2 linked regions of the Daphnia pulex genome follow. Each later gene encodes a partner of the first gene's protein in a complex. Links are inferred from orthologs where the notes say so. Each region holds a gene or a part of one and is shown in the gene's direction. Other genes may lie near its edges.

What was found.
Region 2: RNA polymerase I-specific transcription initiation factor RRN3-like (region 1) and DNA-directed RNA polymerases I and III subunit RPAC1-like share a complex: the UniProt entries of both Homo sapiens proteins name them as parts of the pol I pre-initiation complex. The link is inferred for Daphnia pulex from reciprocal best matches to the Homo sapiens genes RRN3 and POLR1C.

The regions. Positions count from the first base shown.
Region 1 is NC_060026.1:14,528,386-14,535,895, reverse strand, and holds RNA polymerase I-specific transcription initiation factor RRN3-like, read left to right. Parts: upstream 1-2,999; 5' UTR 3,000-3,221; coding exon 3,222-3,446; intron 3,447-3,516; coding exon 3,517-3,806; intron 3,807-3,866; coding exon 3,867-4,019; intron 4,020-4,076; coding exon 4,077-4,490; intron 4,491-4,554; coding exon 4,555-4,736; intron 4,737-4,796; coding exon 4,797-4,915; intron 4,916-4,973; coding exon 4,974-5,231; 3' UTR 5,232-5,804; downstream 5,805-7,510. Other genes in the region: uncharacterized protein LOC124203933, read right to left, coding at 22-280, 348-588, 649-898, 962-1,174, 1,234-1,514, 1,581-1,795, 1,861-1,952, 2,022-2,187 and 2 more; protein piccolo-like, read right to left, coding at 6,123-7,253, 7,318-7,510. UniProt on the Homo sapiens protein: Required for efficient transcription initiation by RNA polymerase I (Pol I). Required for the formation of the competent pre-initiation complex (PIC).
Region 2 is NC_060020.1:1,788,618-1,795,935, reverse strand, and holds DNA-directed RNA polymerases I and III subunit RPAC1-like, read left to right. Parts: upstream 1-2,931; 5' UTR 2,932-2,995; coding exon 2,996-3,088; intron 3,089-3,153; coding exon 3,154-3,225; intron 3,226-3,296; coding exon 3,297-3,537; intron 3,538-3,617; coding exon 3,618-3,737; intron 3,738-3,795; coding exon 3,796-3,978; intron 3,979-4,058; coding exon 4,059-4,175; intron 4,176-4,245; coding exon 4,246-4,368; intron 4,369-4,433; coding exon 4,434-4,546; 3' UTR 4,547-4,551; exon of another isoform or gene 4,552-4,580; intron 4,581-4,629; 3' UTR 4,630-5,464; downstream 5,465-7,318. Other genes in the region: uncharacterized protein LOC124192222, read left to right, coding at 303-440, 1,224-1,592, 1,786-1,877, 1,939-2,174, 2,240-2,406; sodium/potassium/calcium exchanger 1-like, read left to right, coding at 5,592-5,702. UniProt on the Homo sapiens protein: DNA-dependent RNA polymerase catalyzes the transcription of DNA into RNA using the four ribonucleoside triphosphates as substrates.

The DNA.
Region 1 (7,510 bases):
CTACGGAATGATTTGACTGTTTCAGTTTGCTAAACCTTCTCCAGTGGCCATCCAGACCCATTTGCGTACGACTACATTGTCGATGATTTGATTACAAGATTCATTGTTCGTGTCCAGCTCCAAAATTCTCTTGACGTGATTTCCAGGTTTCGTTGGCAAGGTTTCATCGCCGCACGTAACAATCATGCGAGTGCCGTGATGGTTTAACAAAGCTCGACAGTTTTCTTGGTTCCACGGGCAAGTGATGAGAACGTTTGGCAAACCGACTTCCTTGGCAATCCTATCAAGACGAAGAAATTTAAAAAACCAAATGATAAGCAAAGAAATAACGGACGCTAAATTCTTACTTGAGGAGATTCATAGCGATAGCACTTGTACTATGGACATTGAGTAACATAATCGCATTGCCTTTTAACAAGGCAAACGTAATGATTCGGATCAACGAATCGAGCCTATCACTGTCTGAAGCGATAAGCGCGATGACTCCTACAGGATCAGCAAGGTCGAAGATAACTCCACGTTTAGCTGCACTCGTAGCTACTTTTCCCGTATCGCGACTGATTGCGGTAATTAATTCCAACAGTAAGTCTGCAAAAAAGCACATCTTTCAACAGAATGTATCTCTAATTTGGATTACGAATGTCTTACCAGTTTTGGTGATTAATGGCTCTTGTGTCAGCAACTGCTTGAGAAATTTGGTCACTAGAACGTTCCTATTTCCTTGGCCAGCCCACGAACGTTGCGTCAAGCGTAGACTATCGAGAATGGGAAGCAGAGTTGCGTTGGGCTTTCCATCCCCAAAGGATGAAACATTGTTGAGTTTACTGTCTTTAACGGGCAGCAAGTGATCAAATCCTGGCTCGTAAGAAGCGAATCCATTGACCCAAATGCGAGGTACCTGTTACAAACCGTCCAAAGTTATCATGTGGTTTGTTTGATTTGAATGACGACATCGTAATACCTTGAATTGGTTGATGATGTGCATGGCGATAGACTGCTGCTCACACCACAATGAGATTTCACTCATGCCGGTGAGATTTGTAAGAACGTTGAGTAACTCTGCGGCAGAGCGATAAGAGAAAACAAGCATAGTTTGCCCCAGAATTCCCCACTGGGTAATAGGCATTGAAGGTTGTGCGTTGAAAATAACACGGGCGTTCCCTACGTTCAAAATCTGAGACATTCTATTAGAACAAACAATTGAAATGGGATATTAAAAACAAAAATAATTACATCTAATTTAGTTCCTTGGAGGTAGTCGGTCACTTTTGAGGGAGCTTGATAGCAAGAATCTTCTGTAAAATCAATAGTCTTATCTAATAATTCGCCCGAGCGACTAGCGTTGAAGCGTTCTCGCAAACGCCAATCAATCTCTTCCAACATAGAGTCCTGAACGATCAGGTAAAGACCACAGCTGTTGAAGCTACTCGTCTTCAAAGCGGTAAGTGCGGCATCTACAGCGGCATCGCAATCACCTGTTTCCAACACCACGACTGCTTTTTTCCCGTCGAGATCTTGTTTGGCATTAAAAAAAAACAGGATTAGTTAAAATTATTTAAAATCTCACGGCACAAAGTTACCCAATTTGAGATTCGAAGCTCCATCGCGCAATGCGAGCGCTTGATCATAGCTACCGCAAACAATAATATCGATGCCCTCTGAAGAAGTGATTCCTTTCAACCTTTCAGAACTTCCGGCATACACGCTGCAGTCCAATCCCACTTTGTTTAAAAATTCCCCCATTAAAAGGCATGGAATTGCTAGAAGATCATTTTCAGGGACCAATACAATTGGCCTAAAGTCAAAAGGTAATTCAGTATTTTCGTTTATCAATAAGATAAAGGGCTAACTTATGCTTACATTCCTCTCGAAACGAGTGGTGCGATTGCACGCGACACAGACAGCACTGGATTAGATGAACCCACAATTACAACAGCAATATTGTTCCCAATCTTTGAAAAAAAAACCAATAAACTTTAGTAGAAAAAATTTAGTAATGCAACTGATAATGAATTTAATACTTGAGTAACAGGACATGACTCTAGCTGATCAGCATAATAGGTCCAATAACTTGCAGCTGGAACAATTTCATGTTGGATGCAGTAGCGTAGAGGTTTGCCAAAAGTGGTTGAAAGAGCCAAACCAAGAAGTTTTTGATATTCAGGTTGACTTAATAACATCCCAAGTCTTTAGAAATAATTGGTGATTACAAATACAGAAATAACACATTTAGACAAACATATGATACTCAGTCATTTTGGCAGATGTTTCTAGCCATTGGATGTGTGACCATTTTCTTTGTCTGTCTTGCTTGAGAGCTCTCACAAATTCTTCAAAGTCACCATCAACACGTTTCATAATGGAAACATTCTTGGCCAACTCTTGATGAACAGAGCTAATCATGAGGAACTTGCCCCAATTGGTCCCTTCTCCTTGGCTAGCAGGGACACTTAAAGGTGAAGTGGCAACCCAATTCTGTCATTTAAATAAATTGATGATATGAAACTATGAAGAAATTACATCGATTGTTTTACTTTAAAATCGCGGTCGACCTCCATGCTGCTTTTTCCGTAATTAAGCGTAGCTCCTTTTACAGCTTCAAGAATGTTGACCATCTCAGGATGAGTGTTTAGCTCTAATATTTCTTCCTGTAAAAGTTCAGCAAACGAATGTTATATGGAATGTTTGAGATAATTTATGGATACACTTAAAGATAATTCGATCGTACGCTTTATTACGGAAATTACGTTGTCACTTGCCAGCTGTTTGTCTCTGTCAAAACAAGTTGAAATATCGTGCGTGAATACAGCTGTCACATCTTACCTGAGTCATTATGGCAAAACAACTTTAACCACAACTTTCGTTTTCATTTTGGCTTCGAGTTAAAAAAAAATCCTAATAATAAAATTTATAAAATGTTGCTCGTTTTCGATGTTTGGAACTATTATTTTAAATTTATAAATGTATTAAATCGTAAAGAAATTTGACAACGCTGTAGGCTAATAGTATCATCGCACTAGCAGACTGATAAAAAATCAGCGCGAGCAGTGAGAGCTACATTGATGAGACAACGTGGTCTTGGCCGTTTTTTTTCAGTTTTAGTGATTGCAAAGATCACAAGCACAGAGCTCATCACTATAGTAAAATCAGAAATCGTTAAGAGTTCGAGAACCAAGTAGTTTTATTTTTTATTATTGTATTAAGTAAAAGAAACGATAGCCATGGCGAGTACGAATTGCTCCCAGTTGACTCCCATACCACAGTCCATATTGAAACCCAGTTCGCGAATCAGTATGCAACCCAAGAAACTTTCCCAGCCTTTGCAGGTCCGATTTGACTCCTTGGTCACAATTGACGTGGTTTCAATTTTGAAGGATTATATCGAAGGGCGAAGCGAAGTGAAATATCACCAATTATTGAATCTGAAAAATGATCCTAATGTCAATGTAAGTAATTTGGGGAAAAAACTGGACGTAGGATTACAAGATTACGAACTAAGAATTTTTTTATTTTTAGGATGGATTTTTACTCCTGATTCTTCAACAAGTAAACAGCTCTATCAGTCTGCTGACTCCAAAAGTTGATTCCTTTGTTGATGCATTGCTGCATATTTCATGGACAACAAGACAGCCCCCAGTACTTGATGAATATTTGACATTTCTCCAAACACTAGTTTCAGCACACACATTCTACTGTAGATCAGTAGTCAAAATGCTAGTCTCACATCTGACACTTAATTCAGACTGTGAAAAATCTACATCGAATGTGCATCTAGTTTTGAGGGGAATTTTGCAGCTGATACCATTGTAAGAGCCCTGTAATTATTTGTTTCCAGGATCAAGAAAATAATGTTTTTGTATTGACAGGTCTCAAAGTATTATTTGGGATTCTTTAAATAATGGTTTTCCCTACATTGGATCAAGCAGTTGCAATCAAGTAAACTACATCAGAAATCTTCTACATTTTGTTGAATACCATGAAATGTCTGGACCCCGTGTTTTACATCTCATCATTGGAAGGTATGTCAGTCTTTAATTCATTTATTTTAATTAACTAATTGAATAATTTTTGTATAGAATCATTAAATTGGACAGCAGAGTTTCAAGAGAGGACTTGCTACAAAAATTCAATCAGCCTATGGAGTTTGATGAGGATACAGTCTTGAATCAAGCTTCTGAAACGTTAGACGAAATCATGAAAGTTATGTTTGAGTTGTGTCATCGCAAATGTCATAGCGAATGGATTGTTCATCGGAATTTTTATCAGGACATGTACGCTACGTTCGAATCTTTGATACTACCGGCCGCCGGTATCCATCATGTCCATTACTTGATGTTCTACATATGTAGTACCAAAACTGCTCTCTATGAAGCTTTTACTGAGCGCTTGTGGGTCATTTTTCTTACCCCTTCATCTCAGTTGAATATTCGAAAATCGTGTGCCGATTACCTTGCTTCGTTTTTGGGGAGAGCCTCTTTTGTACCCATGAAGTACGTTCACATTTGTGATAATAAGACCAATCAAACCAAACATTAACTCGTGATTTCTCTAAAGGTACGTCATTGACTGTCTGGATCGAGTGTGTCAGTGGATTCACGCATACCTCGATCGGCAATCAAAGGGTGAGGGAGCAGCTGTTTTTAAAATCCGAGCCCATGCAGCATTCTATGCCGCTTGTCATATTCCCTTCTACGTTTTGGCTGCTAGGCATCGAGATATTGTCAACGACAGAAAGCGTACGATGATCGTTCTTTCTTATTGTTGGAATTCAATTAACCTTTTGATCATTTTTGCAGTTCTCGCCCGATTGCAAGCCCTGGATTTGAACCGAATTGTCAACTCACCTTTGAACCCACTACGCTATTGTCACGCTACAACTGTCAGACAATTCGCAGAATCCGCTTCACATCTGCAGGTTGTACCACTATCAATCAAGTTGATTTGTAACGTAATTAACCGAAATTCTCGTTTAGATTGTATTCTGTCACACCATCATGATTCGTAATCAGAGGGTTTGTATACCTGAAGCTACAACTGACACATTTGTCATGGATACAGAATATCCATTCGAGAAATACCTCTTGCCCTCATCGATGGACTTTGTGTCACCTCTTGTTATTGACAAACCTATCGGTCGTGACGATTCACTCTACGACAGCGATCAGGTTATGGAGGAGCTTTTGTCTGAATCACCAAGAGTTGGCGGCTTTATGCACCACTTCATGGGTTGATTTCATCGATATTGTCGTTGGTAAAATCTAAAATTTACCCCATTTTCCCTGTTTCTTTATTTTCTGCAATTCTCTACATCTTTATTACCATATGACCGTCTTTTCCCATTCGTGTCGGTTAAATTATGTATATTAACGTGGTATATATTCACTCGATCGTGCCTATTTGTTGGAAGACCGTTGAAATTAACATTTTTTCCTTTTGGGTCTTGGTCTACGGATTAATCATCCGTTACGCTATTCACAACTTCGGGAGCTGATCACTGCTGCGGTTTTTCTTCGTAAGAACATTATTTTTCCTTTTTCTATACTCGATCGTATTGGGCGGCTTGGGACGTACGTTGAAATTCTCCTTTGATTCGTGGGCTTGTTAAATTTCTTTTTGTCTACTCTCCCGATTACCGCAATGTTATTTGCTCTCCCCTTCGATTTCGCCGTTTCCTATTCAACTTACAAAGATGTTGTCGCCAGCGTGTAATGAAAATTAAAGTTTTCGTGTAATTCATTTGAAAAAAAAAATTGCCACTTAAAAACCAGTTCCCTTTAGTGAGAATAAAATTCAAGTGAAGCGTGTCGGTTGCATTTGGGAATATAAAAATCGTATAATTCTGTTTTCATCAAACACCTATTTATACATCAGTTGAAAGAAAGAATAAACTTTGGTAGGTGAAGAGGCGGGTAAAGGCACTGCAATTCAATGCGCACATTATGGGTTTTGGCGCATATTTTTTTTAAACACCAACAGGGGACTACCAAACAAACATGCAGGCATGCTGAAAAAGACGAATGGTGACATGTACACTAGCGCCAAGCGGTCGTGACACCCATCATTCTTCTGATTTTACATCACGGTGCTGCAGGTAATAAACTTCAATACTACATTCATTCACTTTATTCGTAATTATAATGTTTGGAAACTCGTGATCCGATTTTGGTCCACCAGGTCGAATAACCTCCGGAACTCTCCTTAGGATCGGCTGCTATTCCGGGAGGCTTTAGGTACTTGACGGGCCTTTGAGTTAAGCCGGGCAAGGTGGACTGCTTGAAAATTGCGGGCTTCTTCTTTTTGCCTTCGTATGCAAATGGATTGGCAGGGTAGTCCTTGGTTCCCTTTTCGGTGATGAAAGCCACTTCTGAGGTGAATGGAGGTTCATTCACTTCTTCCTCCTGTTCCGTCTCCGTAAGAAAATCGATATTGGCGACTCCACCTTCGACAGCCACAACAGGTTCATCTTCTACCTCGATGGGTGTTTCAGCATTGATGACCACAACAGGCTCTTCGGCAATACCAAAAGTTACCTGGGGTTCTTCTTCTTCCGTCTCAGGAGCCGTGTTAACTTGTAAGACGCTCACTTCTTCGACAGCCACGATAACAGGTTTCTCCTCATTGTCAGCCGATACTTTGACAATGATAATTTCTCCTACAGGTTCTTCAACATCTGACATGGGCGTCTCTGGTACTACGACAGTCATGGGAAGCATGGAAGATCTAGTCAAGTCCTCTTCGATCTTGGCCACCATCATTTCATCCATGGTGATTGGCAAATCGGTTGTAACTGATACATCGTCTTCGTCGTCGGATGGGGTTTCCTGGACAATTTCAGCCGGAACTGGAAGATCTTCTTTCAAGATTTCCTCAACTTGGGCTGGAACGATTTCATCCTGTGAAACATCAATTGATGATGAAATGATTTCGTCAAGCACTTCGTCAACTTGAGGTGCAACGATTTCGTCGTCTGAAATGTCAGCTTGTGGTGGAACATTGTCGTTCTGTACTAGGTCGTCAACTTGTAGTGCAACGATTTCATCTCGGTCAACGTCGTCTTGAGTTGAAGCGGTCTCATCCTGTACCTTTTTCAAATCAATTTCTGGGATAAGGACTTCTTCTTCGACAACTGGAACAGCAAAGGGGACAGTTTCGGTGACGGCTTCTTCAGTTACCACTTCAGCTCTCGCAGTCTCAACTGCTTTGGCGTATGCGACCTGTTTGTGGACCTCCTCCGGAGTAAGTACTTGTTCCTCCTATGACAAATAGAAATTTTATTATTTGGTTGGCTAATTGAATTGAATTGTTTTATTTGTGTACCGGTGGGCTCTCTCCACGCAGTTTGCGTCGGTGACGCTGGCTATCAGCCAAATTCTTCAAGCGCCGGATGGTGTAGACTGGTTGGACGTTCTCCAAGTCTTGTGTGCTTCTCTTGCGTCGGACTGGAATCGGAAGTGGCTGACCGTAAGGTAAGTAATAGACAACATATTCCTCTCCATTAGCTCCATGAACT
Region 2 (7,318 bases), on another chromosome or scaffold:
GCGCTCGCTTGCACTGTGAAGTTTGTGGAGACGTTTTGTTTCAGCAGTGAACGACTCGGGTTGGTTTCCGTTCCAAAGTTCTCTATAAACCAGTAGGCAACGAACTCTCCACGGTAGCCGGACGAAAGAAAAACCTTCCCAGTCCATTTGTTTCTCCACCTGAAACGAGTGCCGTTTTCATTTCTATTCGAACTCGACTACACAAAGGGAACCTGCTGGTAAGTGACATATAGAGATACTATTGCTATAATCGCCTAACCATTCGATTACCTTCTCTATTGGACGCGATGAAGATTATTACGATGGAGGGCTCAGGCTACTATTACGAACTACCAGTTCCACGAGGAAATGTCGCTAACTACGGCGGTCTCAATGGAAACATCTACGGTCCTCCTCCGCCGATGCCCTACACCAATTCCATGCAGGGCAATTACATGCAGGTACGCTCTGCTTTTAATTAAACGAATATTGGAAAATGACAAAACTGCCAACCTTAACATATTGAGATAAGAAGGCCGTTTTTCGATTCCGATGTACGTTTTTTGAATACCACTCACACAATTAGCGACAATTTGTTGTGCGAATATGTAAAGCGATTGCCGAAAAATCAGGTGACGGTTCTGCGTACAGGCCTAATGGATTTGGTAAGAGATTAGTATAAGGAGATGACCGATGAGCATAGAGAGAAATGTGTCGACAAATTTAATACGGAATGTTTATTATTCAACTCAGTCGCAAAAAAAAGGAACATCAGCTATGTTTACTTTAATTTCCTGTTGGCGTCGTCTCCTTCTCTCATACCCCCTCCTATCCAGCCAGTCTAATTTTGAACGCTCATTTTTGTGTTAGCTCCTATCGGTCAAAACCTCTCATCGTATCTTGTTCAGATCCCTTCTTTTCGGAACTTGGGCGTGTAAAACTTGGATGAGAATGCGGAACAGGTAAATTAAAGAACCAAAAATAAAAAAATAGAGATAGGGGGTGCATATGGAAAGAAGGAAATGCTGGTATAGTGGCGACTGGCCAAGTGCTAGCGCGGCTGGTGGAAAATAGAATGTGTTTAGGCTGTATGCGCGATTTATTTCCCAACCAGTTTGCTGATATTATACACGCCTAAAGCCTAGTTAGTTATTTTAATAAAAATTCCTTAAGCAAAATTCATAACGTTTTTATGATCAAATTAAAAAAAAAATTTCAATTACTTCTTCTTGTTTGTATTTCAGGCACCGGGTTGCCGAGGAGCCGTCCCGAGAGTTGCGAATCATTTTCCGCAATCGATGTTTGCTCGAGAGAGAGACGGATATCTACGAGATAGACTTGAATGTGATGAAGACGATGATGAAGACATTGAACCTGTCAATACTCAGAAAGACAGACCCCGTCGTAATCGAGCTTCGAAATTGGATGATGACGACGAAGAATTTGAACCTGTCAAAATCCCGGTTCGTTCGCGCCACACTCGTGCGTCGTACTTGGATAGTGATGACGACATTGCACCCGTCAAGACTACCGGTACCACGACCAGGGCGCGCTACAGTGCCGCTTCGTGTTTGGATGATGATGCTAACGGAGAACCCGTCATGAAACTAGAGGTAAATTTATTTGAGCGCTTTGTGAACCACCCACGTATTTTGCATAGCGTAGCATATCTTAAAAATAGTTTTATTCTATAGCTGATAGAATAAGCTCAAATTATTAGAAATTACCGTTGGGTTCTAAGTTTTGATTCTATAAGTTGACTACATTTTTGTTTGATCAATTAACAAACCATTAGCTCACTTTCAGGATATCGAAGAAGATTTACGCAAATTGCGTGAGGCGACTTCGTCAGTGCTCAATCGCTTCGCCACGAAGACCAACACCCAACCCTCTACTCGGTAACGAACAAATCAAATTTTCACGCAAATGAACCAGATGGTATTTAATGAATATCAATAGTTTGTCTCGTTTCTTTTCGAGCTATCTGAACGATGATAAGGATTACGAGAAGAGAAGCTCAAGTTACAGCTCTGATAGCTACAGTCCTAGCTACAGCAGCTCGTATGCCAGGCCGTCGTCGATAAAGCCGGTCGACTCTTCATCTTACGATCCGCCCGTCTACGATAAGCGCTACTCAATGTACTTGTCTAGCCGTTCCACTAACAAGGATTCGGATTTGGAAAAAGACGCAGCAGGTAAACCACATCCTCTACCAATTGTAATTTTTTTTGTTACCTGCAAATGAACTTCTTAATTACAGGAAAATCTGATCGAGGACCGATCCCGCAGGCAACAGCAGAACCGGAGTCGTATTCGAGACGTAGAACACCAAGGGCTTCAGCTTCAAGCGACGATAACAGCAAAATCAATTCACGAATTGCTGTCATGTCCAAATACATTCTTTCAAAGAATAAGACAAAAAATTAAATAAATGACAAAGACGAATACATTTTTTTTTTCATAGATGGTTCAGTCTCAGGATAAATGCCCCATTTATTCTCTCTCCTCCGAAAGAAATAATTTACCCATACATTACATGTCTGTAAAATGCTGACGTATTAGTTTAGTTCGGACTGTTTGATACGCCGAATATACTTCAGCTTATACCGTAAGTATCGCGCTAACATCCAAGCTAACTGTTTATATCGTGTACAGTTACTGTGTCTAACGTGTATGTGTTATTTGCCTCAGAAAAAATAGAAATATAAAAACTCAACAAATTCCTTGAAATACTATTGGAAATAGGATTTTCTTTTTTTGAGAGGAGGGTGTTTATTGGCTATCAAAATAATATTTAATTTCTTATTATTTACCTTTACCCTATAATATATGTCCGTTTGTTTTCTAGAAAAGCGGTTTCGATTTGAACTGAATTAAACTGAGAGACGGTGGCGAGACGGTGGCGACATCTTGCAGTAAATTTTAAAAATAAATAAAAGCAGACGACACTTTTCACAATAGTCATTATTTGCCAATTTTTCCCTCGTCCAGACACGTGTTAAAGCTCAACGGAAAAATGAGTAAAAGTAAAGTTAAATATTCATCAAGCAAGGAATACATTGATGAAAGTAGGAATGAACTCGTGCTGACAGAATTCGAAGTTCTTAATGTAATACTACATAACAGAAATCTTCCTAAGTTCAACCAAATTTAATAATAAAAATAACTATTTAGGCTGAAGCCACAGACTTCCCAGGAAATCATCATGGGTTTGACGACAGTTGGAGTTTTGAAAAGTTCAAAAAGGTTCTTCTAAGAAAAGTTCTACACTATAAGTAGATAAAAAGAGAGCATTACCATTTTTTCTGATTTTGTAGAGGCTCAAAATTAACATTGTCCGCATGGAAAATATGGAAATGGAGTTTGATTTGATTGGTGTTGATCCAGCCATACCAAATGCTTTTCGTCGTATTTTGCTGTCTGATATTCCCACCATGGCCTTCGACAAAGTCTTCATGTTCAACAATACCTCAATCATCCAAGATGAAGTCTTGGCCCACAGACTGGGACTGATACCATTGAAAGCTGACCCAAGATTGTTTGAATTCAGAGCTGAAGGTATACTCCAAACACCCATTCTTTTCTTTGTCACCTTACTTCATATAACTGAATCTTTGTTACCCCATCTCTCATTTTAGATGATGATACTGGGACTCCTGAAGATACACTTGAATTTGAGTTAAAAGTGAAATGTTCGTGGAATCCTCAAAGGACTAAAGATCATACAAATCCTGAACACTTGTACAGGGATTTCAGAGGTAAGAAGGGAAACTCAAACCTTTTTTTTTCGACAGAATGCTGACCTACTTTTTTCAGTTTTGACATCTCATTTGAAATGGATTCCACTGGGTGGCCAAAAAGATATCTTTACCCCTGATGCAGTTGGACCAGTTGACGATAACATTCTAATCGCAAAAATGAGACCTGGTCACGAACTTGACATCAAATTGCACGCAATGAAAGGGACCGGACGAGAACATGCAAAATTCTCACCCGTTGGTTAGTTTTATTGTTTTTTTTTATGATTAAGAATTTTTGGACCGAGATTTAAACAAAAACTATTTTTCTATTTTCTCAAGCTACCGCATTTTACCGTCTCCTACCACAAGTGAAACTTCTTAAGGAAGTGGAAGGTGAAGCTGCCCAAAGATTACAAAAGTGCTTTTCCCCTGGGGTTATTGATTTGGTCGACTCAGGTTTGCTACATACTATATTTTTTCTTCTAGCTTAATTAGTGTGAAGCACTACCTTTTTATTCTATTTCAGGTGAAAAGAAGGTTGCCAAAGTCAACGATGCCCGATATGACATCTGCAGCCGCAACGTATTCCGTCACGAAGATCTAAAAGAGGACACTGTAAAGCTGACCCGAGCACGCGACCATTTCATCTGTAAGTATTGTTATTGGATTTTTGCTTATTCCTTACTTTAGCGATGCATTTGAAAATGTGTTTAGTTTACATCGAGTCTACTGGAGCACTGGCGCCGGAGGTCCTCTTCACTGAAGCCGCCAAGATCCTGTCACAAAAATGCCGTGTATTTTTGGATGAATTGAAGAATGGACTGTAGGAATGGTATCCTAAATAGACGCGTTGATTCATGACGATTACGCATTATTAGTTCACCTGGAGGCGTTTGTGCCGTTGATATAGTTATCACCCAGGATTCCAGCCGAGTGACCCAGAACTGCATTTAGAAACCGAAACCGGAGCTTTTCAAACGGAAGGAAGGGAAGACTTATTTAAAAAATTTGAGGGGTGGAGGCGAGCAACTAATTCTTCCTGGTTTTACGGAAGGATACCTATCCTTTTTCATATGTTCCTTTCCATCGCTATTTTTATTTGCCTTCTGCAACAATGGCTTCTGTTTGTTTCGCTACTGGTTTTACGAAACGTTGGCGCTAGACTTGCTAGATAAGCTGTAGTAGCCTCTTATTGACCTTGGATCCTAAGGTTTTGATTGTTTTGGATGTGAACCGAGATGTTCCTCCTTCTAATGTTCTTCTTCCTTCCTTCTCACATTTTGTTTACACCGCCAATTCGTTTTAGCCCATTGTGGAATATGCGTAGGTGGTGCCAAGAAAGTCTAGGCAGATGAGATGAAGGAAATGGGAAGAAGAACAAGAAGTGTATTCTGTTTTGTTTTTTATCTCCTCTCCCTTTCTCTTTCCCTTCTTCTTCTTCCTATTTTCTTTTCTCTCTTTCTCTTAAGTCTATTTCTCATTGACCGTGGCATCTAAATTTAGTGCTCGTGGAAGCTTGTGGAAGCTTGCGAGCTTGTGGAAGAGTTTTGTTTCGGACGTAGAGCACTCGGGTCGCTTTCCATCTCCACGTTCACTACAAGTACAGTCGACGACGCACTCTGCTTGGTGGCCGGACGAAAGAAAAACCGTCTCCCTCAATCAAAAGACCCCTTTCCCCCATCTGGGCCGATCGTGAAGTTGTTAATTAGGGAGATCTTTTTTCTCATTTGGACTTGGCTGGACAACAGAAATTGGGTAAGAGAATGCCTCATATAAATTTATGCCTATGATTGTCTATTCATTTTTATTTCGGTTTTGAACCCCTATCGTTTCCTATTTTCATTCTTCGGATCCGGAGAAGACGATTACGCAATGGCAGGCTACTACTCCAGTCAACGAGGATATGGTGGCTCCTACGGTAGCTCCTATGGCGGTTCATCATCGTCGGCCTACACGTCATCCCTGCGTAGCAACTATATGCCGGTAAGTCTCCCATTATTGGGGCGGTTGAAATCCCCTCAACTGTTTTCTTTTCTTCGTTCATTTTTTGCTTCACAGCCAAACCAAAAACAACAAAAAAAAATTTTTGTTTTTTGCTGTGATGACAAAACTAGAACGTCGCCAACTAAAAACGAGTGAAGATATTAGGCCGTCTTTCGTGCAGCGTCAAGTTTTAGGAGCCAAGTTATTAGAAAATGCAAAAGATAGGAGGATATCTCGTAATGGGAACAATAGAAGATGCGTTTTAATGTGATTGTGTGTGTGTGTGTATACGTGAGTGCTCCTGACGCGAAGACAAAAGAAGAAGAAGGAAGTGGATCTCGGTTGAGTCTCTGGCATCGCAAATCACAGCCAAAAAAGAAAAAAAGGAACACAGCTTCATTCCTCCTTTTATTTTTGTGTTTTTCGTGTTTTCATAGCATTCACAGCTGACATTTTGCGAAATGGGTGGGCAAGCTATCAGTAAGATTCACGTTGGCACGAGGGAGAGAAGAGTGATGGGTTGATTGCTAAATGTCACAAGCACATATCCCGCGATGTACTGTAAATCGCGATCGCAAAACGAGGGAAGGATGAGCGTGGGCGGTGTTTACGCCAACTTCCTTCCTAATAGATCCTAGTAATCCTGCGCTCCCAGCACCTCCGGGGTCTAATTTTGGATGGACCAACACCACGTGATCTTATCCCGAACTTTTTTGTGTGAGTTGATTTTTCTGATTTTTTTTTTCGCGTCCAGTTTAAAAGTCTCGTGTTGTTTGTGCCAACTCATATCGGCCAAAAAGTCCCGTCGCTGTCTTATTTGGATCCCTTGCCGTACGTAGAACTTGGTCGTTGATCTTGTTTACCTTATGTTTTGCTTTTGGGGAGTTTGTTTATTCGAGTCAATGTCTTCTTCAGCACGTACGGTGATACTAGGGTCTTGGGCTAGGACTTGGAAGAGAATGCGAGTTGGGTACGTCGGAACGCCAGAGACTTCCTTCTTGGATTCGATCCTTTTGGTAACCGTTTCTTGGCAATCAGATCGAGTACGTCACGCCAAGTTCAGCCAAGAATATGTAACACACTTTCTCTCGTCAAGTTCTTTTGTTTCTTTTCTTATATTTTGCCAGAAGTCGATTCTGGTCAACAATGCACGAGTTAGGAGACTACGGCTGGATATAGAGGCTGGTGGGTTGAATGTGCGGAAATGATTTGGGGAATGGTGTCGAGTCTCGGCGACCGGGAGTCTAAGAATAACAGAACGAATCATAGAGTCCATCAAGCCTGTCAAGTGAGAAACAGCGGCTTCTTTGACTGCACACATTTCCTTTGTAATTGAATGCCTTCTCGCACAAAGAATAATACGAGTGGTTTGAATGGAAGGAGGGGGGGGATAGAGAGAACAACGATGGCTGGTGCGATAGCGGAAGGGAGACACGGAGAGAAACGGTCGGGCGTGTCAAAATGATTGCTTTTTCGGTGTCGCCAAGCAATGGCCAAGAAAGCAGGCGTTATGCTTCGCGTTCGCGCCTACCAATTGTTATCCTTCACTTCCAATGTCCGCCCTTTTCGCTAGCCGCAATCGCACGCCGTCATTCACGTTGACGTCCTTTTGCGGA